Arabidopsis thaliana: one gene and its partners. The protein of the gene in region 1 interacts with the protein of each later gene in a pairwise test. Each region holds a gene or a part of one and is shown in the gene's direction. Other genes may lie near its edges.

What was found.
Region 2: the proteins of DAZ3 (region 1) and MBD4 interact in a two-hybrid assay, tested with the Arabidopsis thaliana proteins (one large-scale study listed by BioGRID).
Region 3: the proteins of DAZ3 (region 1) and WOX14 interact in a two-hybrid assay, tested with the Arabidopsis thaliana proteins (one large-scale study listed by BioGRID).

What each region holds. Positions count from the first base shown.
Region 1 is NC_003075.7:16,918,411-16,926,715, forward strand, and holds DAZ3 (zinc finger (C2H2 type) family protein), read left to right. Parts: upstream 1-4,908; 5' UTR 4,909-4,940; coding exon 4,941-5,768; 3' UTR 5,769-5,924; downstream 5,925-8,305. Other genes in the region: AT4G35680 (selection/upkeep of intraepithelial T-cells protein), read left to right, coding at 1-469; AT4G35685 (DNA-directed RNA polymerase III subunit), read left to right, coding at 730-968, 1,042-1,339; AT4G35690 (hypothetical protein (DUF241)), read left to right, coding at 3,476-4,330; AT4G35710 (DUF241 domain protein, putative (DUF241)), read left to right, coding at 6,891-7,742.
Region 2 is NC_003074.8:23,293,572-23,297,126, forward strand, and holds MBD4 (methyl-CPG-binding domain 4), read left to right. Parts: upstream 1-1,713; 5' UTR 1,714-1,822; coding exon 1,823-1,870; intron 1,871-2,341; coding exon 2,342-2,854; 3' UTR 2,855-3,055; downstream 3,056-3,555. Other genes in the region: AT3G63020 (hypothetical protein (DUF3049)), read left to right, coding at 854-1,468; AT3G63040 (uncharacterized protein), read right to left, coding at 3,075-3,555. UniProt on the Arabidopsis thaliana protein: Transcriptional regulator that binds CpG, CpNpN and CpNpG (N is A, T, or C) islands in promoters regardless the DNA methylation status. Plays probably a role in gene silencing.
Region 3 is NC_003070.9:7,180,697-7,184,556, forward strand, and holds WOX14 (WUSCHEL related homeobox 14), read left to right. Parts: upstream 1-1,861; coding exon 1,862-2,066; exon of another isoform or gene 2,067-2,633; coding exon of another isoform or gene 2,634-2,652; coding exon 2,653-3,039; coding exon of another isoform or gene 3,040-3,056; exon of another isoform or gene 3,057-3,126; coding exon 3,127-3,170; 3' UTR 3,171-3,360; downstream 3,361-3,860. Other genes in the region: HMGB3 (high mobility group B3), read left to right, coding at 1-64, 294-373, 461-497; WOX10 (WUSCHEL related homeobox 10), read left to right, coding at 3,789-3,860. UniProt on the Arabidopsis thaliana protein: Acts redundantly with WOX4 downstream of the TDR/PXY receptor kinase to regulate procambial cell proliferation and differentiation in vascular tissue, independently of any role in vascular. Involved in the regulation of gibberellin (GA) biosynthesis pathway.

The sequences.
Region 1 (8,305 bases):
TAAACAGATTAATGCACTCAAGAAAATGGAAACCAGAGATATTTCCACCAACACAGATCAAGATTCAGCGATAGCATCCACGAGTGTTCTGAGAGAGACAATCCAAATCACTGTCTCGATGTTCAGACATCTTTTGTTGTTCCTATCAACAATACCACCACCACCATCGCCCGCAATATTCAAGACTACCATAGGGCTTTTGTCGATTCCTTTCGTATCGCCATCATTATCAGATAAATCTCTGATTCTGATAAAGGAAATGAAGAGTCTTGATGATGTCTTTCTGGGTTCTATTTTGGATTCGAGAAAAACTTTATTCGAAGTAGAAACAATGGAGAACGAGAAGATGAGGAGAGATGTAGTTGAAGATGGTTTTCGTGATCTGGAGGCAGAACTGGACTCTGTTTCCAAGTGTCTAGTTAAAAACAGAGTTTTGTTCCTTAACATCCTCAGTAACTGTTACTACTGAGATTTTTGTCAACAGATGTAAATCTTTTTTTTATTTAAACACTAAGCCCCATAACAAGCCCATAAGGCCCACTCGTGACCCAATCAGATTACTCCGAAGATGGGAGGTTTCTGTTGACCGAACACGTCCCAATGGAAAGGTTGAGAAGAGGCGATAACCCTAGGAGAAGATAGAGTTGTTGGGTTTTGGTTTGGCTCATATCTAACTTAGATCTTGTTTGTGAGATATCGCAGCACCACTCAAGCCGTGAATTTGGGTCCATGTCTTGGAAAGGAGGCCGAGGAAAACCAAAAGGATATGGCGGCGATTATGGCAAGCCTGAGCCTTTTGTGATTTTCCCTGAAATTACGTTACCTGATCCAAAATCAATCTCAACAGACTCGCAATTAGTTGTAGTTCAAAGCTACTTTACTTTCAATAAGTTTTGGATGAATTCTCCTTATCACTTATGCGATGGTGGTGTTTCTAAGAAAGAGAAAGCGAGTTTAGATATTGAGAGGTATTCAGATTCGTTTGAAGCCGAAGATGAAGTCTAATAAGTATGGATCTTTCTTTGATTTTCTTCTTCTTAGACCTGATAACTTCTCTAAAGAACTTGTTGGAGATACTCGAAGAGAACAACGGCCTGTGAAGAGAGCTAAATGGAGTCAAGAAGCTGATTTGCAGAAATTGGATGTGTTTGAGAAGCTTGAGTCTAAGTTTAAGACTCAAGGCAATGAAGAGAAAGAAGACGGAGAAGATGATGAACAAGTTGTGGAATCAGAAGGAGAAGAATCAGATAACGGAGATTATGATCAGAATCAAGACTTTGATGATGATGAAGACGATTATAATCATGAGGAGGATGGTGGATTTGAAGAGGTGTATTAAGCTGCTTCTCCTTTTCCCAAAAGAATCAAGTTTTCCAGTCAAGAGAAGACTATTTGGTGTAATTTCTCAATAAGCATATACCATCTTGAAATTTTACACCATAAAAGTTAGTAGCACTATTATGGGTGCAGATGGTTGCATATGAATGATGATCTTTTTAGTTGTACCAATTTTTAGAAATTGTAGTTGGTGAAGGTTTCGTGGACAAATCTTATTGTTTGTAGAAAAACATTTTCTGATAACATAACTTTACTTGAACACTCCTTTTCTTCTAGATAGATCTTATTCGACTCATAATTGGTGTAAGATTCTTCTAATTTTAGCAAGATATCATTGACGTGGTAGTTACCATCAATAAGTAAAGATCATTGACAATTACGTGGAGCCAATAGCTACTGCTAAAAAAGAATGTTTGTTATAGATCTTAATATATTAATAAGAACAGTAACATAATGTGATGGAACATATAATTGGTGTCAAGACATAAAAGATGATTTCCAACAAACATATTAAGCTTTTACACGTGTACTTTGGGTAAGGAACTGTGACAAAATACGATGAGGCTAATTATATGGATACTTTGTTGATATGAATCTAGAAACTATTCATAGCCTTTTTATAATGCATTGTAACAAATTAGTACTTTAGTCTCGTAGTAACCAATTATTGGAAATTTAAACATTACGTCTCGCAAAAGAGTATCTTTTAATTATGACGAATTCGTTTCTGTTAAAATCAGGGTTTTTCATTCATGAGTTATCAAATTAAAATCTTTTCGAAGATTTCTAATACGAAAGTACAAATACTTTTTTTTTTTAATAAAAAATTTAAGTACAAATACCTGAGAGATTAGATGTTTTGAAAAGAAAAAAAAAATTCACAAGTTTTATTGTGGTTTGTATCCCTATCATTTAGCATATAAAAAGGTTCAATATCTGCATATATATGGTAGAATTGTATATGTTGTAAAATTTAATTTGTCTCCCTGTGTTAACTTGCCCCACAACACGTTGCAAAGTGTTATTCATATGATCTGGTTTTAAATGAATTGTTATAATTTCTTCAATCAATTTTGGTTTCAGTAAATGGAAAAAAAAAACAAGAAATCGAATTAATATTGATTTAGTTACCAATATATATTTGATAAATTTTCAAAGAATTTAAGAAATCTGTATTGTGTTCAATTTTTTGGTTCCGTTTCTGGGTAGGTCGGCCCCGGGTCTTTCTTTTCCTGTTGTTCTGTTCCTGCCACGAGAATGTCAAATAACTTTGAAGACAGAAGTTATCCTATCGATGCTGTATTCATGCCTGTTGAAAATGCCACCTAAGAAAGGACGGAACTGTCGAGTAAGGATTGGCCGGGCAGAGGCCTTTGGTGTCCACTCCAGTCAAGAATTGGAGCCTCCAGGTATTAGCTGTTAGCCGTCGGACTCATTTAAAGGATTTAGTTTGGTTTCTACGAGCTTCTTATGATTGCTAATAATAAGTAAACAAGTTAAATAAACCATTCCAGGATAATGAGAATCTGTCAATCAGATACACAAAGTCAGTGATATCTCGCAAGCAAATCATCTCAAAACTCGTGCACTTCTTTATACGTGTCATAACAAGGAATATTTTTCTTTTTTTGATAAGATTTGGAACGTGAGAAAAACCATGTAGCCGGCAGTTTAAAAAATATTTTCGTTATAAGCAACCTAAAAATGATGATTGGATAATAGAAGGGACTATATAATATACAGTTGAGGAAGATCTGGATCTCGTTACCTACCGAGACCATTTTAACACCGTCGATCATTTTAAATTTGAGAAACTCGAAAGGTCAATTGATAATGTGGCAAAACAGGAGGCAACACAAACGATGACTCATCAGGCTCATCTCTGTGGCCAAATAATTTGACCAATATAATAGCCCGACAGCTAAGAGAGTCAGATTTGTCAGTAATAATCGGACCAATCAAATTTAAAAAATCAATTATTGTTGAAGTTTTGTTGGTTGATACGCAAAACCCTATGCTATATATATACATGTGTAGGGCAAGTTGAGTAAAACAGATCGATCAAGAAAGCAAAATACAAAGCTCAAAACACATTTCTAGAACAAAATCAAAACAAAAGCATATTATATAAAAAAAAATGTCGAATATGCTCGTCAAGAATCAACTAAGATCTATAAGCTTACCTTCAAGCTCGCATCCAAGCACGACCGGTATCGAGGAATCTCTTAACAAGGTCAAAACGATTAACACCATGACGGGTTCGTCCGAATCAGTCTTGATGGGCTTGGAGGGTTTGGAGGAGCTCTACAATTGTACGGAAGATTTTCTGAAAATGGGCTCAACGCAACGGGTTATGTCATCATCTGATGGATCCGAGTTTATGGAGGAGATGCTTGACGGTTCGTTGAGGCTAATGGATATATGCAGTGTCTCGAGGGATCTCATGGTGGAGACTCAAGAGCATGTTCGTGGTGTTCAATCATGTGTCAGGAGAAAGAAAGTAGTCGGAGGAGAAGACCAACTCGATGTCGCCGTCGCGGGGTATGTCGGATTTAGAAAGAACATGAGAAAAGAAGCTAAGAGGCTTCTTGGATCTTTGAAGAACATTGATGGAGGTTTAAGTTCATCATCATCAGTAAATAATGGTGAGCAAGAAGAACATCTTGTGGTGGTTGTAGACGCCATGAGACAAGTAGTTTCCGTTAGCGTCGCGGTGTTGAGGTCGTTTTTGGAATTCTTATCCGGACGACGACAAAGTAACATTAAGAGCAAGCTGGCTTCGGTACTAAAGAAAAAGAAGGTTCACCATGTTGAGGAGACCAAGAACGAGTTGGAGAATTTGGATCTCGAGATATTCTGTTCTCGTAATGATCTACAAAAGAAGCTTGAGGAAGTTGAGATGAGCATTGATGGATTCGAGAAGAAACTAGAAGGACTATTTCGAAGGTTGATAAGAACACGAGCCTCGCTTCTCAACATAATATCTCATTAGGTTTTAAAGTATTCATGTAATGTAACCTTCAAAGGCATTCGACTTTAGAGAATCTGCCGGAGGGATACATCATAGACGCATGGATAAGATATTGTACACTAATTAAACATAATTTTGTAGAGATTAATTTGTAAAAATATACACAATAATGCATTGATATATACACAAGGCAGACTTTAATACATGAACAAATGAAAGTTTAAAATACATATAGCATATTTATAAATTTACAATTAAAATCTTACAGAAAGAAAAACAAAAGAACTAGACTCTTAATCCAAAAAAATCATGATATTCATAAGAAGAGGTGGGAATTCGGACCATGGGTCACATGTGTACCGGTTTAGTTATTTTCCGGTTCATACCAACTGAAGAAACCAAGTTATAAGCGTAAGTTCTGGCAGGGGCAATTTCGTCAAAACGAGATTTTGATTGGATCCTACGGACGCAACCTTTTAAAGAAAAGGCGCGAGAGAGATCTGAGCGAACACGTTAGACACACATAAAAAAATAACGGTCATAAACCGCCGTGTGGTCATAGAAACTATATAAAGACCACTTCGATTGAAATTGAAGACGTGGTATTCTAAATCTCTGCAAAGAAGAAATTATGAGTAATCCCGAGAAGTCTAAAATTGCTGAGGAAGAGAATGAGAATTTTGACGAGAGTGATTATCTTTGGAGCGATGAAGAAGGAGACATACGTGAAATTGTTCTTGGCCTTCCTGCACTAAGACTTAGTGAGAGTCTCAATGTGGATGAAAGCATCCGTAACGAAGCCGTTTCCGCGGCGAAGTTGATCGTGGCAGCCGCCAAGGAAGCCACAGGGAATACAGAACAAAGTGCTAGTGGTACCGGTGACGTTAGTGGAACTCCAGAAATCATAAAAGTTGGGAAACCCCGTGTATTATTGGAAGCGCTGGCCGAAGCATCTGGTTGTACCCCTATTGGGGTGACCACTACTGAAGGAGAGGTAGTCAAGAAACCCCGTAAGAAAGGTTCTACTCAGTTGACACATCTGCCGCAAGGCCCTCCTATGTGTAATGTTTGTGGGAAGGGCTTTGCTTCTTGGAAGGCTGTTTTTGGACATCTAAGGCAGCATAAGGATCGAGGGTATCTAGGTTTTCTTCCTCCGCCAACATTCAATGCTGCTGAGGAAGGATTTGGTGGAGTTGCTACTGCTTCAACCGGTGGTGCAGTAGCCACTGCTATTTCCGTTGGTGAAGTCCCTACTGCTTCTTCCGCTGGTGGACTCGCTACGGCTTCTTCCGATGGTGAAGGGCTTGTTTCAAGTATCGGAAGGGCGAGGATTGACTTAAATGCCGATCCAGTCGAGGAGGAAGACAAGGTAATTGGAGTTGGATCTAAGCGAAAATTTGATCTGAATAGGTCCCCCCCACCAGACGGTGATGAAGAGAACGATGATAAAGTCGAGTGATAGTTATTTTCTTGTTACATGCAAATCATTTTCCTTAGTTACATTTTTTCTTCGGTTTGTCGCTGTGAAATGAATATACTAACTATGATATTGTTACTTCTTAATCTATGTTATTTGAAAAGATAACTTTTTTCCAAATTGCAACAATAAATGCGCGAATGAAATAATATATTCTCTACTATTGATATGTTGAAACACTATGTAAACTTATACCTTGAGTGGGAAAATGTGAAAAGCGAATTTATATAATCCATATCCCATTTGCATAAAAAAATAATTTTTAATCCTATTTTTTAAATTATTTAAATATATTTCACTTATGTCGAAAATATACAAAATGTAAATGAAAAAACAAAACCCCAAAAACATTTTTTGTTAATTACACTGCATTATCGCAACAGTGAAAAAAGGAGACAAGAAAATAGCACATTCAATAAATTTGCAAAACGTTGAGTCTGAATAAAACAGAATATGCCCAAATTTAGTTTATATGCCATAAGAAAAACGAAGTATTACAAATATTAGCGTTAATGATTGGTAATTAAATGGAAATGTCATTTGACCAATCAGAATATGTAAAATTGTTAAAAGTCTACTCCACGATTATCAAATCAAACCACCAGTGACAACTGACAAGCAAATCTAATCAAAATCAGTGCCCCTCTTGCACATGTCATAGTGCGAGACGTTATGCAGAAGGCAATGATGTAGTTTTTGTTATATGGAATATATCTTTTTATTCCTGAGGAACCGTAAGTAGCAAACTACCTAATATGGTCGGAGAAAGATCCGGATCTCATAACCTACCAAAACGACTTCAAGAACGCGAAAGGTCAATTGATAATGTGGCGAATCTGTAGGCAACAGAGACTATGACTCATCAAGCTTTCTCAATTTGACCAATATAATAATCTGACAGGTCAGAGAGCCACAGATTTGTCAGTAATAATCGGACCAATGAAATTTAAAACATCAATTATTGCTGAGGTTTTGTTGGTTGATGACGTTTCAAAAACCATTGCTATATATATAGGCATGTGTAGGGCAAGTTGAATAAAACAGATCGATCAAAGAAGAAAGAACACAAAAACCCTTAAAACACCTTATATCAAAACACAAAAGATGGCGAATATGATCATTAAGAAACAGTTAAGATCTATAAGTTTACCTTCTAGATCACAACCAAGCACAAGTGGGCTCGAAGAATCTCTTAATAAGATTAAAACAATTAACACCACGACGGGTTCATCCGAGTCGATCTTGATGGGCTTGGCTGGTTTGGAGGAGCTCTACATTTTTCTGGAGGAGTTTCTGAAAATGGGTTCAAAGCAACGGGTTATGTCCTCTGGTGGGTCGGAATTCATGGAGGAAATGCTTGATGGTTCGTTGAGGCTGATGGATATCTGCAGCGTCTCAAGGGATCTAATGGTGGAGACTCACGAGCATGTTCGTGGCGTTCAGTCATATGTTAGAAGAAAGAAAGTATCTGGTGGAGGAGGAGGAGATAAAATCGATGTCGCTGTCTCCGACTATGTCGGATTTAGGAAGAACATGAGAAAAGAAGCCAAGAAGCTTCTAGGATCCTTGAAGAAAGTCGATGGAGGGACTCGTTCATGTGATAATGATCATGAAGATGAACAACTTGTGGCGGTTATAGATAGGGTGAGACGAGTGGTATCGGTAAGTGTCGTCGTATTGAAGTCGTTCTTGGAATTATTGTCCAGACGAAAAAGTAACATAAAGAGCAAGTTGGCGTCGGTACTAAAGATGAAGAAGGATAACCATGCGCCAGCCAAGAACGTGTTGGAGACATTAGATTCCGCGATTTTCGGAGATTTTTTATCTCATGATGATCTTCAAAATGAGCTTGAAGAGGTTGAGATGTGCATTGGTGGGTTCGAGAGAAATCTAGAAGGGTTGTTTCGAAGGTTGATAAGAACACGAGCCTCGATTCTCAACATAATCTCCCATTAGGAAGAAGTTAATATATGCAATGTAACCTTCGTGAGCATTCGGTTTTAGAGAATTTGCCGGAGGGTTGCATTATATAGAATAATAGAAAAGCATATAAAATATTTTGTACACTAATTACAAACTGTGTGAAATAGAATCAACATTGCAGTTATATACCCATAAATCTTATGAAACCATCTACGACTCATAATTTAAAATGACAAAATTAGTCAGAAAGTTTCATAAACTCGAATGGATGACTTGAAACTTATACATATCTTGATTTATTATGTAAAAGGAGATCGGAGAGTTGACTTCTCAGTGTAAACTCACTGACCTAACGTGTATACAATTTCTAGACAGGAAAAAGAAAAAGAACGTGTATACAAGTATCGTTGCTGAATTTTATGCATGCTATAGTATTCGAATATCAAATCATGAACGTCAAAGATGCTGATATAGTAGCTAACCATATTTATTAAAACTGTAAATATTTGTTAAAATGTAGATTTTCTTTTCCATAGTTCACAAAAAAAAAAAAAAAAAAAAAAAAAAAAAAAAATCCATTTGTAAAGAAATTTCAC
Region 2 (3,555 bases), on another chromosome or scaffold:
ACTTTCGCATTCATCATCAACTCGTCATCATATGTATGTTTTCATTCACATGGAGTTAGTCCAGAATAATAGACTGCATGCCGTTTAACGGTCTAAACAAAGACAACTTGTAGTAACGTGTTTTCTTACAAAATGACATAGCAAAATTAGCATGCATGGCTCAGGAGTTATCACATATCGTTAAAACATTTTGGGTTTGCTTTTAGCGATTGCCATTTGTCGAGTGTCTCAAAAGATTCTTGTGGCCCGTATAATGGGCTTTAGAATATCGTTCTATAAGCCCATCAAATTAATGAACTGAGTATTATTTCCGGGAAAGAAATAACGTTTTATGCAATTACGACCCAATTAACTTTATAGTTTTTTAAAACTGATGGGGAATGACCCAATTCAATGTTTTCACCCTCTCAATTGCAGCCATTAGTTAATACTGTAGTAATGTTTAGAAACTAGTTTCAAAATTTTCGTAGAAAAATTCATGTAATATTTTTAAAAATCATTCGATGTGCTGCATGCGTATTTCCCAAAAATTAAAGTTAATATGATTTAAGATTTTGTTCACAATTACTGCCACCAGAAAAAGGACGGTGAGATTAATATTTTACAGGTGAAAAGATTTTTCCAAGACAAGGTTTAATTTGACCATGCGGACCAATTTACTTACAAGGTGTCATGGTTTACAAAAGCCCGTTAAATGAGTAAATCCTGATCTGTTTGCCACGCTGGCAAAACCTCTCGCAGAGGCCCCACCAAATACTATAAATCATTAAATCTCGTTTAAGGCCCAAAAAATGATGCAGAGTTGCGATCGTAGAGAGTAGAGAACAGGGAAGGACGAGCGGTTATGTTAATCATGACGTCATCCTCTACGATTCTCACCGGAGATATAGATGAAGAACACCGCACGTCGTCAATGGCAGAGGAAGACACGCCTACGCATTCCCATCGACGGCGCTGGAGCACTCCTGTTGATTCCGGCGGCGAACCTCTTCAAAGCTTATCCGTGAGCAGATCTCTAGAGATAAAATCAGACCACGAGAATCCCGACGACGAGTGCAGGGAACATAGAGGTGTGTGTGGAGTTATTCTTGACGAATATTTCTCGTGTTCTTCGAAAAATAACAGTTACAGTTTCTATCTAGGAGGGAAGATATCGCCGTGGGGACCGTATGGACCGCCGCTGCTGACGGAGTCGAGATCAAAGGCGCCGTCGCCGCGGAGAGGAAGAAGCGTGACGAGGAAGCGAGATCTGCCACCATTTTTGACGACACTGGATTGTAACGGACGGCCGAGATTTCATCACAGGAGAGTGAGAAGCGAAGGACGGTTAGAGATTGCCAGCGTGGCAGTAGATTCACCGGAGATCGTTAGTGTTCGTGGGAGAGAAGGACTAAGAATCGGAACAGTGAGAATCAGTCAACAAAACGACGTAGTAGAAGATGATAATGAAGATAAACAGAATCACTGATCTTCCTCTTAGAATTTTGATATTTTCAGCTAATTTTCCGGGGGGAAAAAACGACATTGTAGTCCGATGATCCGTTAGAAACAAGATAAGAAAAGGGAATTATGGGCTTTACTTATGAATATTAGGCCCATAATAATATTTTGTTGCAAAACAAACCTGGGCCTGAAGCCCAAATAATTCGCTCAAGCCGACGTGTTAATTTATGATTTGTCCGTCACAGTGATACATTAAAGCACAGGCTGTGCGGTTATCACACTGTTCGCAGGAAGACTTATTTGAGAGAGTTTTACTTTTGGGGGACACAAAGATTTGGAGAAAAAGTTTACTAAAAAAGAATCTGGGGAAGTAAGTGAGATGAAGGAAGAGGAGGAGATCGGAAAACCAGCGAAACCAAAAGCCAAGGTAGTCCCACAATGACTTACATATATTTCGCTTTCCATTTTCTAGGTTCCGTTCTTTGCGTTTTTCTTCTCTTTATTGTGTTAGATGCGAACCTTCTTATAATTCCGGTCAAAGTGCATGCGTTTTTCGTGTTCTTACTGTCTTTGGAGATCTCAGATCCCGTATTAGTAGTTACTATTGATGGAGGAAGTTATACAAGGCATAGAATTCTAGGTTATCAGTTTTGGGGTTCACGATTTTTTGGTGCTTGGAAGTAAATTGTTGGTAGTTAACTTTGAAATCTTTGGTCTTGCAAACTTTGAGTCAGTCTCGTGATGTGTCGTTGCTTTCAGTTATTGCTCTAAGAAAGCCTTGGTTCTTTTCTTTAACGCTTGCTGGAGTAGTGTCGCTCCTTATTCTTGCCTTACATTATATATTTCTTCTACGCTCACAAGTCTTGTGTGGGGTTGTTTCACTGAGACTTAATGGCAGAAAGATGTTGCTCCTGGGAGGTTGATTGATACCTATGCTGCACAGTGCGATAACTGTCACAAGTGGAGGGTGATTGATAGCCAGGAGGAATATGAAGATATCAGAAGTAAAATGCTCGAGGATCCTTTTAACTGTCAGAAGAAACAGGGCATGTCTTGTGAAGAGCCTGCTGATATTGACTACGATTCTTCTCGGACTTGGGTCATTGACAAGCCTGGTCTCCCCAAAACGCCTAAAGGTTTCAAGAGAAGCTTAGTTCTCAGAAAAGATTACTCTAAGATGGATACCTACTACTTTACTCCTACCGGGAAGAAGCTCAGGAGTCGCAATGAAATCGCTGCCTTCGTTGAAGCCAATCCGGAATTCAGGAACGCACCACTTGGAGACTTCAATTTCACTGTCCCCAAGGTCATGGAAGATACTGTTCCCCCTGATCCGAAGCTTGGCTCTCCTTTTCCAAGCACTACTACCACTACTTCAGAGAAGAGCAGTGTCAAGCAGAGCCATAACTAATATGTTCTCTTCTACCTTCTTTCTGCTCCCTAAAGCAATGCGTTTTGAGTCTTTATAGATTTGATGTTCTCTAAAACTGTTATGATATTAACATCTCTAAGCAAAAAAATATGATCTTTTGTCTCTTCTTTAACCGGAACTCAAATGTTAAATATTCTTTTAATTTGGATTCTTACACCAAAGAAACACACTTATTCCTTACAAGTCCCCTCGTAAAACATTAAGTAGAGGCTACAACTCCGGGAATTCTCTCATGGCAAATCCTCATGCACCTTATAGTGAGCGGTTCCTCTTGAAGAATACTGCACGATGTCTCACAGACTTCCTCGTTGGACATGAAGCATCCGGATATGCATTTTTTATAGGCCTCCGGTTCGGTGTAAGACAGGCATTTTCTGTTGCATTTTGTCTGCAAACCCTCATTAGCAACACCTTCTCCTCCTATGACCATCATCTCTGGTTTGGACTTGGTGCGAGGGCAAACGGCCATGCAATGTTGAAAGAGTCCTTCAAAGGGGTTGCAAAATGCCTCACAGAAGGGATTGTGTTCTTCTTCTTGTCGTCCACTTGTCTCTTTCTCTATCTCCATCATCAACAGTTCATTGCACTTATCTTCACACTCTTTCTTCTTGTTGTGGATATCATGTTTACAGTTGTGCTTGCACTGTTCCACCACCAAATCTTCTACTGCACTTGACACT
Region 3 (3,860 bases), on another chromosome or scaffold:
GGCTGACAAGCGCAAGGTTGAGTATGAGAAGAACATGAAAGCCTACAACAAGAAATTGGTAATTGTTTATTTGCATATAGAAGGCTATGTTATGTTTATATTAACCACGTTATTGAGTTGTCTACTCTCTTTATACTAGTCAGTAGTCACACTATTCAAGGCTTTCTTAATTTGTTTACTATATATTGAAGTTTGAGTTATGTTTATTCTAAACAATGATGATACAAGCAACTGGTAATTTGGTTAATGGGGGTGCTTGAATAATGGTGGTGTGTTGTGGTTTCAGGAGGAAGGCCCTAAGGAAGATGAGGAATCTGACAAGTCAGTTTCAGAGGTTAACGATGAGGATGATGCTGAGGATGGCAGTGAAGAGGTAAGTTATTTTACACCTCTGCAATCTAAATATCTGTAGTATGAATCAGTAAAGCTTTGTATTAACTCTGTTATACATGTGATGTAGGAGGAAGACGATGATTAAGAAGTTGAAGTTGTGGTAGCGTAATATAGAAGGCTGCAAGGAATCTCTCGGATGTTTTTATCTCCTCTCTTAAAATGTTAATTCGGGTGGTTAAAGTGGTTTTTTTTTTTTTTCTTTTTCTTTTTCTTACTGATGTTTCGTTTTAGTAAACTATTACCTATCTCCCACTGATTCTACGGGTAATGGAAAAAGTGAATGTAGAATGTTTAGATGGTGAAATGAGAGATTTGTAGCTCTATATAATGAATGATTTAGTTTTTAATTCCTCTACGTTTTAATGCTCTTTAGACTCTTTGTTTCTAGTTGATATGAGGATTTATACCCCTGAAAAAAATATTAGTGTAAACCATGTTTTTACTTAAATCATATTGGGGTTGTGAGTCCTATTGCATAATCACGCTCTTAATCAATGTGTTCCACAAAGAGTAAACCATGTTTTCACTTTTTATTTAGTTATTTGACTTTAGACACAGGTTGGTAAAATTGTTTTGAGGCTATACTTGAATTTTCCAAATTACCAACGCCATGATCATTTGGTTCTCTTTTCATCTTTTGAAAAAAAAAAATGGTTTGCATCAGCTTAATTAAGAGTTTCTCTTTGGATTGTATTACTTCGTTTGATTTAAGAAATAAGTAAAAAATTTGATCATTTTTGACAAAAGTGAAGATTTTAGTGAAAATCTGCGTATTAGCAGCAGAATAGTCTCACTTATGTTATAAATTTTTAGTCAACATCTTTATATCAAAGAACCTTTTTGGTCAAATTCGTACATTTTCTTCTTAATCAACTTAGAAAAAGAAAGAAAGCATGCTCTTCTTTTTCCATCAATAGTTTAATCATTAGTCATAAGTCACAACGATAATATTTTATATAATGCTGTGATTAAGCCTTGCTTCCGGCTTTACCTAACCACTATATACATAAAGTAAGATACACAGTTTGTGTTCCTCTACGGATGTAACAACAATACCTGGTTTTAATTAGGTTGTTTTTATATATTAGTGTGGTGTCTTATTATGTCATCAACACATAGGATTAAGATCTTCTTAGATACATATTTTGGATTAGCACATTTTTCTATTTCAAATGGTAGATATCTTGACCCGTAAAACTCGATTAAAATGTTGAAATTCTAACAAAAAATTGTGAATACCGTCGACCAAAATCTATCCTAGTGAAAGGCCATAGTTCTCCAATGTTTTCAATATGTAACCAATGTAATAAACCTGGTAACTGTAAAAATTAAATTGGTCCAATTGATCATTAAACAAAGACATCTTTCCAAAAAGTGTTTGATTTAACGGTAACAAATAAACTAAAGATCCCTTTATTCATAAACAAAAGAATATATATATCATTCACTTTCTCATTGTCTTGTTCATATGGTAAAAAAAAAAAAGGAAAAGGAGAAAAGCAAAGAAATAGAGGAGATGGATAGAGAGATCCAAAACGGTGCGTATAGTGGGAGAGTGATGACTGAGGAGCAGATGGAGATTCTCCGTAAGCAGATCGCCGTTTACGCCGTTATTTGTGACCAACTCGTCCTCCTCCACAACTCCCTCTCTTCTTACCATCCACTCTCATCAGGTACACTTCTCTCTGTTTTTGTTCCTGATTAACAACAATCACTTTTCTATGTATTTGATTTTTTTACAAGAGACCATTTGATGAGCTTCTTTGTATACGGTAGAAGAAGTGTGTAAGACGAAAGTGTTTAAACGCAGCGTTTTTTGCGATGCAAACGTTGTTTCCATTAATACACTTGACCCATTGAGACTTTAGTGTAAAAATGTGAAAATTGTGTTTGCGTTTGGTATACAACTAACGAAATCCAAGGCTTTTTTTTTCCCAGTGTTCGATGCATAACTTTGAATCAAATTTCATAATGTTTTAGACATTCGAAGACAGTTTACCTACCGCTTAGATATCGATTTATCATTGCTAAAGATATTTGTTAATATAGTTTATGATTTGCTTAGATCGAACAATTCAATATATTATTAATGTTTATTTTCTCTAGACGTAAGCTGATTTGAGGGTTATCATGTCGTGGCCGATTTTTAAGAAGCTTGAGTTATTAGTGCTTTGTGGTTTTGATAATACATATTTTGTACATGGAAGAAACTTAAGGGTCACGTCACTTATTTTTTTATAATGATTGAGTGTAAAAAAGGAGTGAGGCCAATGGTTGGCGGATACTTTGATCCGATGGGGGCATCGTCAAGTTCTCATAGGATATCGACTAGGCATCGGTGGACTCCGACTTCAACACAGCTTCAGATACTTGAGAGCATTTACGACGAAGGAAGTGGAACACCGAATCGACGGAGGATTAGAGAGATCGCGACGGAGCTGTCTGAACATGGACAGATCACGGAGACAAATGTCTACAATTGGTTTCAAAACCGGCGAGCTCGGTCCAAACGAAAGCAGCCTCAAACGACGACAGCTAATGGTCAGGCTGACGATGTGGCGGTGACAACGGAGGAAAGGAGGAGTTGTGGAGATTCAGGGGGATTAGAGTCTTATGAGCATATACTCTTCCCAAGTCCTGACTTAGGTAAAAAGATCATTTGAGTTTTTAAACATTTGGTTAGGTTTATTTTTTATTTTTGGTTTGAGTTTGCATTTTTTTTTGTGGTTTCAGGGATTGAGCATTTGTTGAGTATAGGGAAATTTATGGAGACTTAAAATTCGTATAGACTTCGATGAAGAAGATCTCTAATCTATTCTGTTTTCTTTTACTCTGTTTTCATAAAATAGAATTGTGTGTGTTTGTGTGTGACATTAACAACAAGTCTTCAATTTTATTATAATTTTGTGTTCCTCAACTTGATATATATGCCCACATCTTTTTCAGCATCAGAAAGAAAAGTGATGCCATCTTAAACTCGGTTGATATTTTGACCGGTAAATCTCAATTCAAATGACACTAAAGAGTAGAAGCAATTGACCATAATAACCGATCCTAGTCATGACCATAGCTTTTTTCATTGTTTTTAAATTTATTGTTATCACACAAAAAATCATATAAAATCGGATATTGGTTACATGACCACACAATTAGAATATATATCAATTATTTATCCAATTGAATCCCAAAATTACCTCAATTAACTAGTAATTGAAAAAGAAAAAAAATCAGACAATTGATCCTAGTTTGACATCTTTCCATAAATTGTTTAAAGTTAACGGTAACAAATAACTAAAGATTTCTCAAAAAGAAAAATACATAACACCTTCACTTCCACATTGTCTTCTTCATATGGTAAAAAGGAGAGAGGAGAAGGCAAAGTGGTGAAAGAGGAGATGGAGCAAGAGAGCCTAAACGGTAGGTATGGTAGTAGAGTAATGACGGATGAACAAATGGAGACTCTTCGT